Linked DNA regions of Daphnia pulex. The protein of the gene in region 1 purifies or fractionates together with the protein of each later gene. This does not show direct contact. Links are inferred from orthologs where the notes say so. Each region holds a gene or a part of one and is shown on either strand. Other genes may lie near its edges.

What was found. Proteins that work in one complex are often made in the same cells at the same time.
Region 2: the proteins of replication protein A 32 kDa subunit-like (region 1) and DNA topoisomerase 3-alpha-like purify together in Homo sapiens (affinity purification with mass spectrometry; 4 studies listed by BioGRID and IntAct, with this or other methods). This does not show direct contact. The link is inferred for Daphnia pulex from reciprocal best matches to the Homo sapiens genes RPA2 and TOP3A.

Annotation. Positions count from the first base shown.
Region 1 is NC_060017.1:2,573,473-2,580,661, reverse strand, and holds replication protein A 32 kDa subunit-like, read right to left. Parts: upstream 5,774-7,189; 5' UTR 5,631-5,773; coding exon 5,612-5,630; intron 5,553-5,611; coding exon 5,467-5,552; intron 5,410-5,466; coding exon 5,308-5,409; intron 5,245-5,307; coding exon 5,131-5,244; intron 5,072-5,130; coding exon 4,880-5,071; intron 4,823-4,879; coding exon 4,670-4,822; intron 4,609-4,669; coding exon 4,529-4,608; intron 4,466-4,528; coding exon 4,384-4,465; 3' UTR 4,206-4,383; downstream 1-4,205. Other genes in the region: sodium-coupled monocarboxylate transporter 1-like, read left to right, coding at 1-177, 246-299; sodium-coupled monocarboxylate transporter 1-like, read left to right, coding at 1,226-1,419, 1,479-1,641, 1,706-1,771, 1,848-1,899, 1,968-2,035, 2,092-2,246, 2,307-2,337, 2,405-2,514 and 8 more; CWF19-like protein 2, read left to right, coding at 6,102-6,185, 6,272-7,153. UniProt on the Homo sapiens protein: As part of the heterotrimeric replication protein A complex (RPA/RP-A), binds and stabilizes single-stranded DNA intermediates that form during DNA replication or upon DNA stress.
Region 2 is NC_060017.1:7,794,727-7,806,185, forward strand, and holds DNA topoisomerase 3-alpha-like, read right to left. Parts: upstream 6,716-11,459; 5' UTR 6,675-6,715; coding exon 6,555-6,674; intron 6,451-6,554; coding exon 6,390-6,450; intron 6,319-6,389; coding exon 5,933-6,318; intron 5,868-5,932; coding exon 5,717-5,867; intron 5,640-5,716; coding exon 5,435-5,639; intron 5,343-5,434; coding exon 5,258-5,342; intron 5,191-5,257; coding exon 5,032-5,190; intron 4,956-5,031; coding exon 4,755-4,955; intron 4,699-4,754; coding exon 4,546-4,698; intron 4,482-4,545; coding exon 4,204-4,481; intron 4,141-4,203; coding exon 4,053-4,140; intron 3,986-4,052; coding exon 3,728-3,985; intron 3,658-3,727; coding exon 3,221-3,657; intron 3,156-3,220; coding exon 2,590-3,155; intron 2,530-2,589; coding exon 2,495-2,529; 3' UTR 2,431-2,494; downstream 1-2,430. Other genes in the region: chitin-binding domain protein cbd-1-like, read right to left, coding at 17-396, 552-621, 691-743, 810-854, 964-1,039, 1,108-1,196, 1,293-1,359, 1,438-1,548 and 2 more; sedoheptulokinase-like, read right to left, coding at 7,104-7,305, 7,372-8,567. UniProt on the Homo sapiens protein: Releases the supercoiling and torsional tension of DNA introduced during the DNA replication and transcription by transiently cleaving and rejoining one strand of the DNA duplex.

The sequences.
Region 1 (7,189 bases):
TTTGTTTTATGGAAGATTTCGTACCTGTGGTACACAATGATAGGAATGTTGATTGTGCTGATCCTCGGGACAATAGTCAGCTTTTTATCCGGACCACAAAATCCTCAAAAACTTGACCCCAAACTTCTTTGCAAATTCAGCAACTGTTTTCGATCGAGCAAAGTAAATACGTGTTCAGTAATAATTGCGGTGTAATTTCATTTGTGGTACGAATTATGAATAACGATTTTTTTTTCTATTTCCAGAAGGCTGGAGAGTTGCCTTCGGACCCCAAAACTGATGACATTGAACTAGAATGAATTTTATAGTTTGACCTTTCAGTGAAACCTTGGATTATGCACTCCTTATGAGTTAACACTTTTGCCCCAAACCATAATTCATCTCCTTCAATCAATAGTGACCTTCACAATTGTCAGTCTAGTCCTTTTGAATAAGGAATGAAGGCTACACTTCCAGTTTTTATGTCGGACCACAGACCTTTGCAACATTTTAAACTCAGCCTGCCAAAGTAAGGCGCTCGCAGCGGCCTTCTGTCTTCCAATATTGAGGTACGCTCAAGAGTAGAAAACCGTAAATCATAGTGATTTTATCCTTAGAAAACGTTTTAACTCGACTTTTATAAACCCGTTTTATTTCTTTTCTTTTCTCTCGCAATTCTTTTTAAAAATAACTGTTTAAATCATCTACGCCTTAATGTGAAAAGATAATTTATTCATGAAAATGGATGCGCTAAGGAAATGGCGAGAAACCTGAGTACTACATTGCGCGTTTTGTATTATTATTTCTAGTGCGGACAGAGCTATTTTTTTTTCTTTAAAAAAAGTTGTTTGTTTCCAAAGCTTTTTTGCTGCCTAAACCAGCTGACCGTGATATGACAAACTCTTTTTTGTGGGACAACTCTTGTGAGCCTCCTTTCTAATCAACACGGTCAAGGCGAACAACAGCGTTGCAAAGAATTGACTCATTGAAGTCTCCATCGAACCAAGTTAACATTTTTGTCCATTTGGTTTGACCATGTTTTACGATCAAAACTCGTACACTATCTAAAACGCAGTTGTCTCGGACTGTTTGATTGTTTATTACCAGTGTTTAAACCGCACTAAAACAGAGTTACGCGTTACGGTGTGGTACGTTCAACGTCAATATTAACTAGTTTGAAAATCGTTACGGTTCGTTGCCGCTACTTTAATTTATAATTTTCATTGCGTTAGAGTGAGACACAGATATGGATCGATTTGAATCTTTCCAAAAGGCAACGTTCAGTTTAGGTGATTACTTGATTTTTATCGCCGCTTTGCTTTCTTCAATGGTGATCGGCGTGTATTACGCGTGGCGTGGCGTAAGCAATTCAACGTCCGACAATCTAATTGGCAGAAAAACAATAGGCATCTTTCCCATCGCCATGTCTTTAACAGCAAGGTGTTATTAAATTGACAGCTTTATTTCTTGACTGATGATTTATCTTTCTTTTCATGCAGCTCAATATCGGCTTCAGCTTTGCTTGGCATACCGACAGATGTTTACCTAACTGGATCGATGTACTGGTGGATAATTGTTGCCGCGGGTCTCTCCATTCCAGTATCCGTTTATGTCTACTTACCATTTTATCACCAACTTCAGCTTGACGGCTCGATCCATCAAGTATAAGATTGTAAACTTGTAATTTATTTAGTGAGCAAGTTTTATACTGTCAATTTTTTCTTAGTACCTTGAAATGCGCTTCAGTTGTACTATACGACAGTTAATTTCTATACTCTACATTTTCAAAACGGTATTTCAATAAGAAATGCAAAATAGAAATAAGGCGGTTGTTATTAATATTTTTTTTCGTGTATGGATTTAAACAGATTTTTTATTTGGCAGTGATGGTGTATGGACCATCACTGGCTTTAAAACAAGGTGAATATAAAATTTTGCCTTCAGAGGACTCGGTTTCCTCTTATTAATTATCATGTATACCTGCTCAGTGACCGGACTCCAAGAGAATGTTTCAATCAGCATTATGTTCGCTGTGTGCATCTTCTACACCGCTATTGTAAGTACAGTAAATTATTCTGATGAGAAATAATGAGTTATTGCTACTTATTTTAGGGCGGTATCAAAGCTGTAGTATGGACCGCCACTTTCCAATTATGCATGATGTACGGATCAATAATTATTGTGTTGGTAAAAGGAGTCATGCTCGTCGGTGGTCTAGAAAACGTTTTTTTGCTGAACGCCAACTCGTCCCGCATTGAATTCTTTAAGTAGATAATTTCATTCGCATCCGACTGAATGTTGGATTTTAATCCTTTATTTTTTTGCAGCTTCGATTTCGACCCTACCACTCGTCACACAGTTAATGCATAAATGCCTTATTATTTGAAATAATATTTTAATTTCAAAGTTTTCAAAATGTTTTAAGGTCTGGTCTTTGTCCATCGGAGGATTTTTCTTGTTCACATCTATGTACGCTACGGATCAAGTGTTTGTTCAGCGATGCTTAGCTTTGCCAACGCTTCATAAAGCACGAATGTACGTGATTTCAAAACAGAACGAAAATCCTTCTCTCAAGTAAATTTGACTTTTGACGTTTATTTTCAGATCGCAGTGCATCAATTTCCTTTTACTAGCAGGAATCATTTCTCTCTGTTGCTTAACAGGCCTTGTTACATATGCATTTTACTTTGACTGCGCTCCTTTGAAAGCCGAAGTGAGGAAGATTTTATTTCACTCAGATGCTAAATGACATACGCTTACTTGAATTTAATCAAACAACCTTACCATTTCTCCACTATAGATTGTTAAAAATTCGAACGAGATCTTCCCTTTGTTTGTTATCCAAACTATTAGGAAATTTCCGGGTTTACCAGGTATACTGGTCTTTCACATTGCTTTTTCCTAAAAAATTAATGACGAAATGTTTATTACGTAGGAATTTTCGCAACAGGAATTTTCAGTGGGGTTACAAGGTTATTTCTTTAGAAAAGAACTATACAGTAGAAGTTTATTCAATAACATTCAATTTCTCACTGTTCAATGTAGTATTCTATCTAGTAATTTACATGCCGTCTCGCTGGTTGTTCTCGAAGACCTAATTCGACCTTCCTTCCCTATAATGCGGGATAGCAAAGCATCATTAGTTAACAAAATGACCGTAATCATCTTTGGCTGTGTCACATTTGGCGTGGCCATATATTTTGCCAAGTTTCAAATTTCACTGGATGTAAGAAACCGCAAAATGAGTAGTTTTGATGTGGCGATTATTAATAGTTTCGTTTAACGATTTCGATTTAGTCTTCTCTGAGTTTTCTTGGCGCTATGGCAGGAATAATTTTAGGGGTTTTTAGTTTAGGTATGTTTGTCCCATGGTCTAATTCGACTGTAAGTATTACATTATTACGTTTCACTTTTATTTTTCTTATTGCTTGTATTGTTGATTATAAAGGGAGCAGGATTTGGAGCCATTATATCTTTCGCAATTATGATGTTGCTGGGAATAAGCACACAAATTGCCAAAACTAATAATCTAATTACGAATGATCAAATGAAACTACTTATCACAGATAACTGCCCGTCGTTCAATTCAACAGACGTTGGGTCACCTTCCGTTCATTTTTTTATTCAAAAGTATGAGTCCGTTTCTAGATAATAATTTGAAACTTAACGCGATATTTCATTCCATTCTAGAGCGGATGCATTTGTGCTCTTACGGATTTCGTATTTGTGGTACACGGTATTGAGCGTGGTGATCGTCTTAATCATTGGTACCATTGGAAGCATTTTGTCTGAGCCGCAAGATCCTGCAAAACTAAATCCCAAGTTACTTTACCGAGTAAATCATAACCGTCTATTAAAGTAAGATAACTTTAGCAAAACATTTTCTACATGTTAGCGAGTTTAGCTTTAATTTTTGAATCAATAATGTTATCATAGTAAAGCGGCACTCCAACCAAGTGATGAAACCGATGGCGCTACGGTTATTCGTAGGCAACGAAACGGGATATTACTGTGGGAACTTCCAAGAAGATTATCACCAATAATAGAAGTAAATTTGCCTGATACCTAACATTTACGTCTTCATTCTATGATGTAAATAACATTTTACTTCGAATGCATCACAAACACTTGCCATAGCAATTAGACATGATCCAGTTATCCGTGGTCATTATGTACCTGATATTTGAATATACTGAAAATGAATTATCCGATGTAGATCCGATGGATTTTAGACGATTTAAGCTTTTATGTTGAAAGACAGACAGAACTGAACCATTTCAAAACAGTTGGAATTAATAGCTTCAGGATAAATTCCGCAGACTGAGTCGACACAGTTTTGAGTATAATGTATCTATTCTAGTAGATATTTAATGAGAATGAAGGTACAGTACATCTTAATCTTGTTTAGCTATCGGTCGATTTGAAATGGTCTTCGTCCACCGTAGAGTAAATATGTCCCTCAGAACAAAGGAATTCCAAAGCAGCACTAATAAAAAATTTAAATTAAAATCAATGAAAACATGTTTGTCTTCCACATCAATACACTTACTCTACATCACGTGGGATCATTCTTCCTCTGACAGAATTGTAGATCTGCGACTTTTCCATGCCGGTTTCCGCTGTTGTTGCCTAAAAATAACATGGTTTTTTATTGTTTGAATTTGATCACATAGATGACAAATGAATCTACCTGAATGATGGTATAAACCATAGATTGAAAAGATGACAGTCCTGACATGATACCGTTTGCCACATTGGAAGTAGCTGAGGATGAAGAAGCTAAAGGCCCAGTCATTCCACCACCCATCACTGAGTTATTCATTGATTGTCCTGTTCCTTCTCCCTTTATAAATAAAAATCATTTACCTTTGTTCAAGCATTCATTTGAGTTGTTCATTACCATTTTTCTCTTCATCTGTCTCAACTTCATACGAACCCATTGCGTCTCTAGCAAGTGGGTTGTTATTTCGTTAGCAGTTGTTAGTTTCGCAACACGAAATGCCATTACGTGACGGCGATCCTGTGTCTGTCTAATAGATCCAACAACTCGACAAAAATTCCCTTCCACAACTTGAAAAGGTGATTGGACATTCTGCAAAAATAAATTGGAATAAATAATGAGTGAAAACATATGCAGAACACAATACATACCCCTTCACCCTCAATCCACTGAACAACTTCAATAGAACCTGTATCATCCCTTACAGTGTACGAAACATTAGTCTGTTTGGATTCAATCTGTTCGACAGTACCTACAAATGTAACCTAAAAGAGATAAGTTGTAAATCATAAGTAAATGTAACTCAAAGTGAAGATAAATATGGATACCATGTGGGCTTCAGTATCTTCTATCTTTAGTTTTTCATCAATTTCATCCAATATATCTTTGATATTAACTGGAATGATATTATGAGCCCGTTGAGCTCCACCCTGTGAATGAAACAAACATGAGAAAATGTCTATGAGATATTAAAAATGTCTTCAAACCTTCTTTTCTCCAGGAGTATTAACTGTGCCTCCTGGAGTTCCAGCATTAAAGAAACCACCGGCCATTGTTCCATTTCCAAAATCGCCTGTAATGGAAAGAATGTAAAGTTAATAACACAAAGCTTGACAAAATTGTATTTATTACTTGCTGATTGATCCCACATTATAGATTAATTCAATTATTCGTTTAAATTTGTCGTTCTCAAAACAAAACGTAATGCACGTGAATCACTTCAATCAGGTATGCAGACGTTGTAACTTGTACTGCGTCTATCCACTGTTTTCTTTTCTTTATAGATGGCGGGAAAACTAGTTTTCGCAATCCGATGTTGACGAGTTGGAAACATTTGATATCAATATTGAATTAAATGGCATCTTTTTACAATTTTTACTACAATTGATAATTTTAATTAACGTTTTTATTAACGTTTTTAAAATTTATTATATGCTTGTAAAAAAAATTAAAAGTTGAACCGGATGACTCTGGTTGAACAAATTGGCAATGCTTGTTTTCGCTTCAAAACGACAGACGTCAAAACGAATGTTTTCGTTTTTGTAAATTTGATTGAAAATAATTTGTGTTGCTTTTCTAGTTTTCTTTTTCAAGTTTTAGCCCATAGAAATAATCCTTTGAAATGTCGATAAATTTTGAAAATTCTAAAGACTTAGATGAAATGAGACAAATGAAACGAGAAGCGAGAGAGGCAATTCTTGCGAAGGTAATACACCATCACATTTCACCAATTTGATTTAATAGTATTTTACTGGTATACATTTGGTTTAGTTTATTTTTCTTTTGTTTTAGGCAGAAAGAGATTATGAGAAAAGGAAAGCTAAAAAAGAATTGGCCAAATTAAATGGTGAAGACAAATGGATGCTGCCTGAGTTGGATGCTCAATTGTCCGGTAAATCCAAAAAAAGTAAAAAAGAAAAAAAACATAAAAAGGATAAGAAACATAAAAAAAGCAAGAAAAAAGACAATTCCTCTGATTCTGATGAATGGGTAGAGAAAACATCTGAAACAACAGAACCCGCTTCATCTGCTCCTCTTGAGAGAGATGAATGGATGAGTGTGCCTTCTTTGCTTCCAATTTTCAGTAACAGTAGCATGCCTCCCAAACGAACATCCCTGAACAAGAATGAAGAAATTGCAAGAAAGACCATGATGGAAAAACCAGGGCAGTCAAGTAGAGAATTAAATCCATACTGGAAAAATGGAGGAACTGGTTTGCCACCTGAAAGAACTGAAGCAGAATCCTCAAAAAGGCATGATAGTCCTAATAGTCATGCAGTATCTTCCAATCCTTCAGAAAGAAAAAAACAAAGAACCTCAGATAGAGATTCCACACATGTTAGTAGCAGAGATAGATCAAGATCCCGAGAGCGAAAACATCCAGAAAACATTAGAAAATCATCAACCGTTCAAGAAAGATTCAGAAGACCAAGTGAGAGTGACGAAGTTGTTTCCCATACAAACAAACGGTTTTATTCTTCGCAACCAGGATGGAAGAAAAATGAAGCCAAATCAAGCAACCCAGTGGATTCATCGACTTCTTCGTCGTCTTCAGAAAGTGAAGAAGAAAAACAGGATACACAGCCACCACAAGAAGATGACAAAATATGGACTGAACAGGAATTAAATGCTCTCGGAGCAAAAATCATCAAAGCCGAAATCATGGGACAAGCGGTTATTTATTATATTTTACGTATTATGTTTTCATTT
Region 2 (11,459 bases), about 5.2 Mb from region 1:
ACAATAACAATTATACTTGTATAGTGTATACTCCATTGGTGCAATTATAAAACGAAGTGCAATTCCCGGGAATTTCGAAGTTACCGTTTGGCATTGGGCAAATAAAACCTGGGGGGAGGGTCGTGGTTGGTTTAGTTGTTGTTGTAGTAGTTGTTGTTGTTGTAGTGGTTGTTGCAGTGGTCGTTGTTGTGGTCGGTGTAGTGGTTGGTGTAGTGGTTGGTGTAGTGGTTGGTGTAGTGGTCGGTGTAGTGGTCGGTGTAGTGGTCGGGGTAGTAGTTGGTGTAGTAGTTGGGGTAGTAGTTGGTGTAGTAGTTGGGGTAGTAGTTGGGGTAGTAGTTGGGGTAGTAGTTGGGGTAGTAGTTGGGGTAGTAGTTGGAGTAGTGGTCTTTGGCCCGGCTGATAAACCAAAAATAGAAGGTAATTTAACAATCGTCATACTGCTACAGGTAAAAAACATTAACAGGTAAACAACATTACCACAGGTAAAAAACAGAGATAGCTATACTTTTTATTAATAGCATAAATACGATTTTATACTGTTGTTTACTTACGCGTGCATGTTTCTTCTATTGGCTTACAGGTAGACAAGTTTTGGTCAAATACGGAACCCGATGGACAATACTATAGCAATTGTATATGCGTAGTTAAAATGTTTAGTTGTTCAAATATTGTCCCCATTAATTATTTTACCATTGTAAAACTTTGGCCGCCAGCACAATAAAAATACAATCCGCTACAAGTGTCTGACAAATATAATAATGAATTAAGATCACTCACTCTATTAATCCGATTTGTTTTATTGTATTTACCAGGGTACGTGTAGTAGCCGTCTTCACCGCAGTCGAACGACGCATCTATCATATTTACAAAATAAACAAATTAATAAGCCAATTTTGCGCATCACGTTTGAAGAAATATACTAAAACTTTTTGTCGACGGAAGTCTAAAGAAAAAAATTACTACCGGTATTGCATGTAGCTTCACCGGAAGGTACGCATTCATAAGTCACAGGATCAAAGATGTAGTCGTTAGGGCACGTCTACATTAAGGAAACGGAGATGGTCAAAGAACATTTTTTAAATTGGAAAAATAATAAAGTAGTAAGACCAGTTTTTGCGGGTATCCCTTAGTGCATTCGTAATATTCACCGACGCAGTGTTGAGGAACAGGATATTTTCCTTCTTCAGCGGGACATTCTGATAAGAAGAAAAAGAGAAAGAAAGAAGGAAAGAAAACATAACAGTCATTACGTTACTGATTTTCAGAAATGTTTAAGTCAACTAAGGACTTACCGAAACAAAGTGCGGGTTCGACGCAAGTGTGCATTTCTGGATCGAACAATTGTGGTTCTGGGCAGAGCTAATAAGAACAACATAAATTTACAAAATACGTTACTTCTGCTTTTATGAAGATTGTTTTAGTCTTTTGTTCGTATACCTGGTAATTTATCATGTTTCCACCATAGCACAAGTAAAAATCATTAGTGCACTGGTTGTTCATAGTGTAATAGCCATCTGGTAGGTCGGAGGGGCAAACGAAATCAGGTGACTGTGTAATAGTAAAAAATAAATGTAAAATATTTAACTTTCCGCACTTTAAAAATAAATGCAATGGAAAAATAGTGCTGTAATTGACGACGCCAGAAAATACTTACCGGTGTTGGCGATTCCTTCAAAAAAGAACAAGAGTAGCCTGATCAAGAAGAAGAAATGAAAACATGATTAAAAACAACTATAAATGCGCAACATATTTGAGTATAACATTACCTTGAGTGATTACAAGAATCAAGATAAATTGTATCCACCGCTCCATCATCTTTTTCTTACAGAACAGATGGGAGACGAGCAGGCGTGGAACACAACGGATAAACTGTAGATGCACAAGTCAACGACTGAACTTACTAGAAACAGCATTTTCGTTTGTTTTAACCACTTCGCGTCGCAGAGTTTATCGCGGATCTTATGAAAAATCACGCCTAAAAAAAAACTAACTAAATCCTTATCGTGTGGCGCAACAACATTTTCAGAGGGCACAGTGACCAGATATGACAGTAGTTGTTGTTTGTTCATTACCAGAGGCTAAACGGAATGTCGGTGGATCAGTGACGGTAATAGATAGCAATAACACATTATATAAACAGGTCAATAGAGTGAATGCGACATTTATACGCATTATACACATTGTTATATTTTTAGACAGGCAGAGCCACACCTTTTTTACCTGTCAGTTGCGAAGCACCGAATAACCGTTGTTAATTTATGATTGCAACTTTCCAAAGTTACGCTGCATTAGGAGATAATTTATACAGATGATGTCTAAGTTGCTTACATGTAATATCTAAAATATTAGGATGAAACAGAATACATTTATTACACTATTCGTTTTGATCACTTCGTTTGATCTAATCGTCGTGAAATAACTGTTCAATGCTTCCAAAGTATCAACACATGTCTTTATTTGACTGAACTGAACGGGAGTACGCCAGCGAAAGACATTAGGCAAAATCAGGACAATGATTTCTAGTGTGACCTGCATTCAGAAATTAACAGTTTGTAAACAATACGAAAAGGAATGTAAATATTAGCCTACCTTCTTGACCGCAGTTTCCGCATTTCCTCGCTCTTCTTTCGGTAGTGGATGACGGATCACTAGACTTCCCACGACCGCGTCCTCTTCCTCGCCCTCTTCCTCTAGAACCCGTGTCTTGATTCGATCCTCCTCGGGAGTCTTGATCAAATCCACTTCCGCTAGCGCCGGTGTCATCCATCCACTTGAAGAAATTGCACTGTGCCTCACGCGGTTTGGCGCAACAATAAAATTGACGCCCACAATTTGGTCCTGGTTTTTGGGTTGTTCTTGTCGTGGCCAATTCACGACCCCCTCCGTCACAGTCACAGTAAGTCTCCGAATCATCGTTATCACGTCGCTCATTCCGGGCAGTCGGCTGACGGAAAAATGCTTCTCCTGCCCCACCACGACCATTTTGAGCAGCTGGTGCCGGTACATTGGCAGCATCAGCCCATAGGAAAAAATCGCAGCCATCCTGTTGTTTTGCACATTTATAGAACTGCCGACCCGTGTTGGGACCTTCCTTCCTAACCGTTAGGAGCAAAGCATCAGGTGCGTCCCTGCACTTGCATACAATCGCAGAGTCCCTAAGCAACAAAACAAAAGGTTTAGATTGTTTAAGATCCATTTCACTTTAGTAAATCATAAATACCCGTTGTTGTTATCAGATCTTGATGGCGGATGAGGCACAGGTTGACGGAAGTACGGCTGTGAAGGGATATTCGGTTGGGTAGCTCCAGAGAACGCTGAAGGAATTGGCGGTCGAGCACTTCGAGCGTTATTGGGAGCCATTGGGCGAGGCTGGACTTGAGGTCTAGGAAGAGTCGAAGCAGAGGAACGGGAGCTATTTGCAGAATACTGAGATCCGGAAGCGTAACCAGAAGAATTCCCAGAATCATTGGCAACTCTAGTGTTACTCGGCTGAGTGTTGTTTTGGTTTCGGGGTTGTGTTGCCAACGGACGGATTCCTAGAAGTTCCATAAAGTTTGGGTCGCATCCACCAATACAACCGCGATGAGTATCCGGGTAAAATGGAGCGTAAACTCCCGGGGTGAATTGGAACCGCAATAGGGGTGGATGAAAAGGACACTGGAGAAGAGATTGACTTGTAAAAAACAGAGAAGCACGATAGTTGTTAAATAAAAGACGAAATACAGACCGCGTTACACTTTTCCGCATCAACTTCCACTTGCTGTACAGCAGCTGGCAGCCAGACGGCGGTTTTACATTCAGGAAAGCCCATACAAGAGAAAAAGAAACTGTTGTCCTTTTTCCGTCGCAGAGTCATGTCCAAGTTACAAGCAGGGCACTTTCGGTAAGGCAAATTTGCATCTGGTCCTCCCTCAGGAATCATCGGTGGTGCTTCCTGTCGTTCCTCATTAAAGAATGTCGAAAGAGCCTCGTCGATTTTGATGACCTATTGTGGTTATTGTAATTATTTTAACTTGATTTGAAATGGCAACCATTCGTGAAAACAAGTTTACCTGTTCCATTGCTTGTACAAACACCCTTCTGTATCTTTCAATCTGCTCTCTCAAGACATCATTCGGATTCCTTTCTCCATCGCAAACTCTGCAAGATTAAATGTGCAATTAATACTAGGACGGGGTTAGGTTTTAATTTAATTTTTCCAACCTTTTAAGATCAGCCTCGAGTTCAGCTCTGAGATTTGGCTTTGAAAGCGCGATCCCCATGGCGTCATAACCCTGTACGAGTCCCATACCCAATGAACAAGGTAAGAAGCGTCCGTCGCCTTGTACGCCAGCGTACTGCCGCGATTTGACCGTCTCAATATGGTCAGCATGTGTGGCGTCAGTACCAATTCCATGTTTTTCCATCAATGAAATCAAATCAGCTTCACTTAATAGTTGAGGTGGACTAGTTTCTCCCTCATCCATGGTTATCGATGTCGGCTATAAAAGGCAAACAACAATTAGTATTTGACCGGAATATCCTGGAAATGTTTAAGTTTTATACGATGAAGCGCTGGCCTTCATTGAGTTGGGGAAGACTACGATCACTCCAGCGCTCGTACGGATATACTTCCAAATAGTTTCTTGCTACTATTTGCAATCCACTGGCGACGAAGCCTTCTTCTTGAATTTCGATTTCGGCCACCGTTTCGTAACCCTGTAAGAACCATAAACTTAGCGGAACGTGGAAATAAAATAAATTCCTCAACATACCTGGGCATCCTTACTGACGCAAGCTAAAAAATGGCGAACGATAAACTCGTAAAGTTTGCGTTCATTCTCATTATTTAAATTTCCTGCATATTTTGTTGGATGAATGGGAGGATGGGCCTGATCACTTTTCTTCCCCTGGCGAGGGTTCAGCCCTTCGTCCAAAACGCGTTGAGCGAATCCTCCCCAAGCAGGATCAACCGTCTAATGCAAAATATTTTAGCGTAACCAATATGATTATAATTCAAGAACACGAATAGTTAAGTTTGTCATGATATACCTGACACTGGACCAAAGGAGTCAGGTCCAATTCTTTGGGAAAGATATTTGTTTCGGTACGTGGGTAACTGATGAATCCTTGAGTGTACAATTTCTCGGCAATCTTCATCGTTTCCTTGGCATTGATTCGCAGTTTCCTGGATGCTAGCTTTTCAAGTTCCTATGACATAAATCGTGATGTAAAATTATATGCGGAAAAATAGACCAGACAAAAAAATTTCACATACAACAGTGTCTAAAGGCAAAGGTCTCCATTTGCTTTTATTCTTTGTTTGAACTTTGATTATTTCAGCTTCAGGGTTCTCCTGGCATCTTTTATCAATATCATAGTAATATAAATTTAATCAAAACTAATAACACTTGAATTTTAGTTGATAATGCTAGTTGATAATAATAACAAATACTTTTCAAGGAGTATTTGAACCACTGTTTGATCAAACAAATGGTGTCTTTTCCAAAGGAATTCAACGCGCTCTTCCTCATTGAGCTCCCAGACAACTTTGAGTTTCCAAAAATTCTCTCTCACAAAATCCTGTATGGCTTTATATCGCTCGACAATAAAGCCTAGAGTTGGGAACTGACACGAACCATAACTGATCATAGATTGGCCTACAAATTTTAAACATTATTATTGAAATGTTGAATTTATTTGTCGTAGACTTGATACAGCCAACAAATCCACTTACCAAGTGAGCCTGGGAAGACTTTTTGAAGTCGTAGAGTTTGAAATCTTGTAAATGCAGCACCAATTCTAAGATCCAACTCAATTCTAAGATCCACTGCATCACTGACATTTTTGTTAGGGGGGCCCAAATTTTGAAGTGCTCGAGCAATTGACTATAAAATAAAATTAGACAAATGGAATTAGATTGTAAATTTCATTAAGATAGTTAGCCTTTTACTTGGTATGTTATTTCAGAGAACTTTGCTCTGAACACTTGAATGCTAGGCTTGATTGCCTGACATACTGTGATTACTTCATAGCCAATATTTTCACCTTCTCTATCACAATCGGTCCAAATGATCAGGTATTTGCTCTTTTTGGTTTCTTCCTCCAAAGTTCTTTTGATGTCTTGATAGTCATCGGCAACAAATTTATGAATTGGAGCTTCAAACAAAGTAACAGGATTAACCCCATGCCACTTTTTATAATTTCCAACAAAGTCAGAAGATAGAAGATGACCAGTTACTGAAGTAACTGCCATTTTGACATTTTGGTTGAAAAGATTATGTTCAAACTCATAGATTTTGTTGAATTTGCTTCGGCCTTCTCTACGATTTGCACGACCTAATGTAATGAAGAACATATAATCCTATTACATTTGGCAGCTTAAGCATTGTGACTGTGTGAAGTATTACCGCGAGAAAGAAGTTCAGCAATATTTTTGGCAGCATCGTTTTTCTCTGCTACATTAAGCACCTACAGATAAACATCGAATTTGAGACGAACGTTTCGTTCAATACCCATGAGGAAATAGTAACATCATTCGTACAAGGATGATACCAATTCTTGCGACATGTTACCTGGACCATTTTACAAGACTCTGCTGATACGGCAGTTGTTTTACAACATCTAGTAAACTCTAAACGATTCAAAGAAACGTGTTTAATCCCCGACAATTTGAAATGAGAAAATAATAACATGACTTCCCATCCCTTTTGTTAGATCACCCGCCAATATGGAAGCCTCTTCTCTCCGCCAACCTAATGCGTCGCTTAAAAAATTTAAGCTAATTTAAGTTTTTTAAAAATTAAAATTATAAGACAAAAACTACTTGTTTAGGCAAGAGTGGATCATTTATTTTAAGAGAAAAGAATTGTACAAAGCACAAAAACATTAAAATAATTTGAAATAAAATTTAAAAAACAATACTATAGAATTATAGATTAATAGATGTGGAAAATCCAGTGGTGAACTGACAAAAGTTGTAAAGTTGCGTCTCTAAAATGACTTAAAAGGCAAGCTTATTTGCGTTGCAATATTCTAATAATAAAATGTTGATAATTTGTTTGGCAAATAATGGCAAGTACGTATGCTGGTAAACGACTATAGAAAATATTGATTTAGTTTTATCAATCCGTGGGCGTTCGTGGAGTATTTAAAGCGGCCAGAGCTGCTCCGTAAGATGCATCTCCTTCTTGCACGGTTTTAAATGGAATGTTTTTATATTGAACGGCAACTTGCTGTTGAAGAGGTTGGTTTCGACTAAGGGCAGATCCGGTTCCAACCAACTGGGTAACTCCGTACTGTTCCAGCAGAGTGGTGGACATCATGCTGTTTGGTGAAAACATAAAAATCAAACCGTCAAGAAAACTAGCAATAAAGAAGATAATTTATTACTTGTGCAAGTTGGTGATGAGTCCCTCAAATAATGCTTTCGCCACATTGCCGAGACTAATATTTCCCGAATTTATGTTGGATACTTCGGCGGCGGGCAACCTGGATAGATGACGTTCGCCAAAAAGGGTCGGAATGATGGTCATGGCTTGTTCAGTTGAATTTGATTGCTTCACCAGGGTCAGCATTTTATCCCAAATCAAGCTCTGCGGAACCCCGAAGCCCAAATCCTGCATCCAGGACTGCAGCATCCGAACGAAAGAAGCCATGACGTTGCCCCCGTTCAACGAAGCAGCGACGGCCAGATAGCGGTTGTCAAAATACGGGAAATATTCGATAGATGATTGCGTGTCCGGCAGAGTGAAGTCGGCCGGCATGCGAAAAGAAAGTTGAGCAGATGTCGAGATGTTTAACACGGCCGTGCATGCAATCTCGTTAGCAAGGGTGGATAACACGGAGCACTGCATGTCCCCCAAGGCGGTAAGCACTTGCGTTCCACGCGGGATGCCGCACCAGGTTTTCGACAAGGTACCCGCCACGGATCCGCTATCCATTACTTTCGGGAGAAGATGGATGGGGAAGTCGACAGTTTTCAAGATGTCTAGATTCCACGTCTTGTCTTGAGTGTTGAAGTAACCCCAACTGGCAGCATTTTGAATGGACATGACAGGGCAGTCGAGGTCACAAAGCATGGAGACAAGAAAGTCTTGGATGGTCCCTGCACAGCTGTAAAGCGAAAGCTCTTCTGGCTCATTTCTCAGCTTCCATAAAAGTGTGGCACATCCATATCCTGATGCAATTCTCAAATGGGAGTCTGGTTTGGGAACTTCGCTGAGGAATTCCAAGGAGCACCTAGAATCTTGCCAAGTGTACAGTGAGCTAAACGGACCCTTACCCAATTCAAAGCGATCACTGCTTGATGTGGTCCAAGCGGTTTCCTTATTCCAAAGCACAACACCATGCATTTGTCCACAGACGCCGATCTTTGTAACATTCTTGAGCAAATCTCTAGGAATCCGACCGATGCAATTATGAACGGCCGATATGATTTTCGAAACATCTTGTTCGGCTCCTTCGCCGGCCTGTGTGTCCTTGCTTTGCTTGGCTACCACTTTGCGTGAATGGATATCTACAACGCTGACTTTAACAGAAGTAGTTCCTAAATCCAGACCGAGAACGAGATTGGCTGCTGTGGCCATGTTTTTCTTCTGCTTCGTACGTGACTCTGCTTACCGGTCAATAGTTGGGAGGTTGTTTATTTGTCAATTTCTCGTTCTGTACTGCTCGAGACAGACAGACGAAAGGTCTTGTGTTTGTTTTGGTTTTTCAAAGCTGTCTGCAAGTTCGGCTGCTGTCCCTAAACTGCGAAAGCGAAACGCGAAACGCGAAACGCCTAAAATGCGGAAAGGCTGTGCGAAACGGACCAAAATTTTTGGACCGTTTCGCGGGACCAAATGCCGGAGGGCATACTAAAATGCGAAACCTCAAAATGCGAAACGAAAATGTTTTCTTTTCCCCACCAGAGTGCAAATTGACGGATGAGGCCCGTTTAGGCCGCCATGTTTCATGACTCATAGTATATGTAATGTGAATGTATGTATGGATATGAATGTGTGTACACTATATATTAACGAATATTACTTTTCGCTAGAGTTTTGAAAATAAAATGTTTGTATTTCATGGGAAAACAGTCTTATCAAATTAAATTTATTTAGTCGACTCGATTACTCTTGTTTCTTCAAGAGCACGGGGGTCCCTCGGATGAGCTCTTGAATGAGAAATCTCCAATTAAGTCTTTGTGGAATAGAGGCGGAAGAAGCTTTCAGCACGTTTTAGCTGGGTGGCATTTTCAATAAATTTCAATCGAATAGCTATATATATTTAGACGCCGGGCTGCTATCGGCTGATAGTTTTTTCCATTTGACTTGGTCAGCCGATTTTCCTCGGCGAACAACTGTTGAGAGAAATTCCGGCTAAGAGAAACAGATTGATCGAATGACATAGAGAACGTCGACGACGTAACAATGTGTTAATGTACCCCGCTGGGCGCTGTGGGATTATTTTATTTAAGACATTGAAAGGGGGGAGCAATTAAATTTCATTTCTTCAGCCGCTACTTTATTTCGGTTTAAATTATGAAAAATTGAAGTCAAAAGTCAGCTATGCGTCTTGGGACGGGCTGATGAGTGATTCAACCGAGGTATGAAATAAATCAGCCTACACCACCTAATGATAATAAAAGAAGAAAAGATTAAAACAAATTCTATTATCGAGCAAATTAAGCTTAACATTTTTCCCCCGTTGACAAAGTCATCGACACGAGCGTTCTTTCCATGCGCACATGCACACATATTGTATCCACCTAGCCATCACAGAAGAAGAAAAATCAAGAACCGAAACTTTCCTTAAACATAAAAATGATTCTTTGATACCTGAATTGTAGATTGAAAATACAAAGATTTGATTTGTGATGCCAATCTTCTAGCGCTTGTAGCAAAAGTAAAGCACAGATACGCCTGCTCCACACTATTACTTGGGCAGCATGAGCTATGAAACTATTACCACTCTCAGAATTCCACCAAGGTTTTCTATGACAGGGATAACAAATTATTGCTTTGAACAAGAAAAGCGATTAGAAAAGAAAACACTTGCATAATTTTTCCGTCACCTCAGAAACAGTAGATGTATTACCTATGAGAACAGACAAGTATGAGAATAACATGCAGACAGCATGATAATTTTAACTAAAAAATACCTCAGAGAATGTAGGTTACAATGTATCAGGTGAAACATCATGTCACCTCACATTGGGAAGTTTTTTCTTTACTCTCATTTATTTCTTTGCAGAAAGACAGCTTACTTCAGCAAAACGACAAAGCAAGTTTCATGAAGTGGACATCTCCCATGACTTTAATTATCTAAAAAAAATGCATCAATTAGTTGGGCGAAGAAAAATATTAGAAAAAACAAAGTATCTTAAACATCAGATGAGTTAAGTTTGGAATCAATAAATTGACTATGTCAAATTCAATCCATTCCCTCCATTAGATCATCAACAAAGATTGCAAAAACCCACGAAATTACATACCAAGTTTAAGAAGTATTGCGGTGATTGAATGGCAAATAACGTGAATCACAAATCAAAATCATGAATACAATAGGTAAATACACAAAACTGTAATATCCTTTTAATTTAACGAATTATATACAAAACAGAAACTAGGATAAACTAACTCGAAGGCAAGGTGTTTTTATCTTGACGAGTAGATTTTTGTGACGCAAGTATGTTAATGGCGTCGTCTGTTGACGTTCTGTTGACGTTTCGCACCCACCGATTTCGCATTTTAGTACGGACCCAAGGCCTAAAATGAGAAACAAGGTCCCAACTTTTGGGTCCGTTTCGCACAGCTTTTCCGCATTTTAGGCGTTTCGCGTTTCGCGTTTCGCTTTCGCAGTTTAGGGACAGCCTGCAAGTTCATCTAACGGCCAATTTTGGAACTTGCAGCGACTCACACAAATGGCTAACGTCTAGACGTTTGAAAAATGCTATTTTTGCATATAAGGAATTGAAATGAAATTACTCGTCAACAAAAATGACAATGGTTATAGATCTGGAGAATAAGAGTTAAGGTTCATGTCCAAAAATGTAAAAAGCTCACATCCCTGAAGGCAATTCAAGCAGGTGAAAACCGGTTGAGAGAAACGGAAAAAACCAAAAACAACAACAAATGTTTTAAGGGCATCATTATTTCTAGGTACTAGAGAAAGGTTTGTTGTCTTTTCTCTCTCTCTTCGTGTTTTTCAAAAAGAAAAATCGAGCTACAGAGTTCGTCCATACCTTCGGGTTATTAGGGTGGGTCTCTTATGAAAGCGGAAGATTTTGTTGCCATGGCCTTTTCCCCTTCACCCATCGTTATCTTATCACACAATCAAAACAGGTCAACGGACGAGATCTTCTTCTCGCGTGGTCTAAAGTCTAAACAAGTAACTTTCCAGAAAAGGTTTTCCCCATCATCATGAGACAAGTAATAAAAACAAAGAAAGATAACATGTTTCTTTTTTTATATAGATATAGCATTTTCTTATATTGT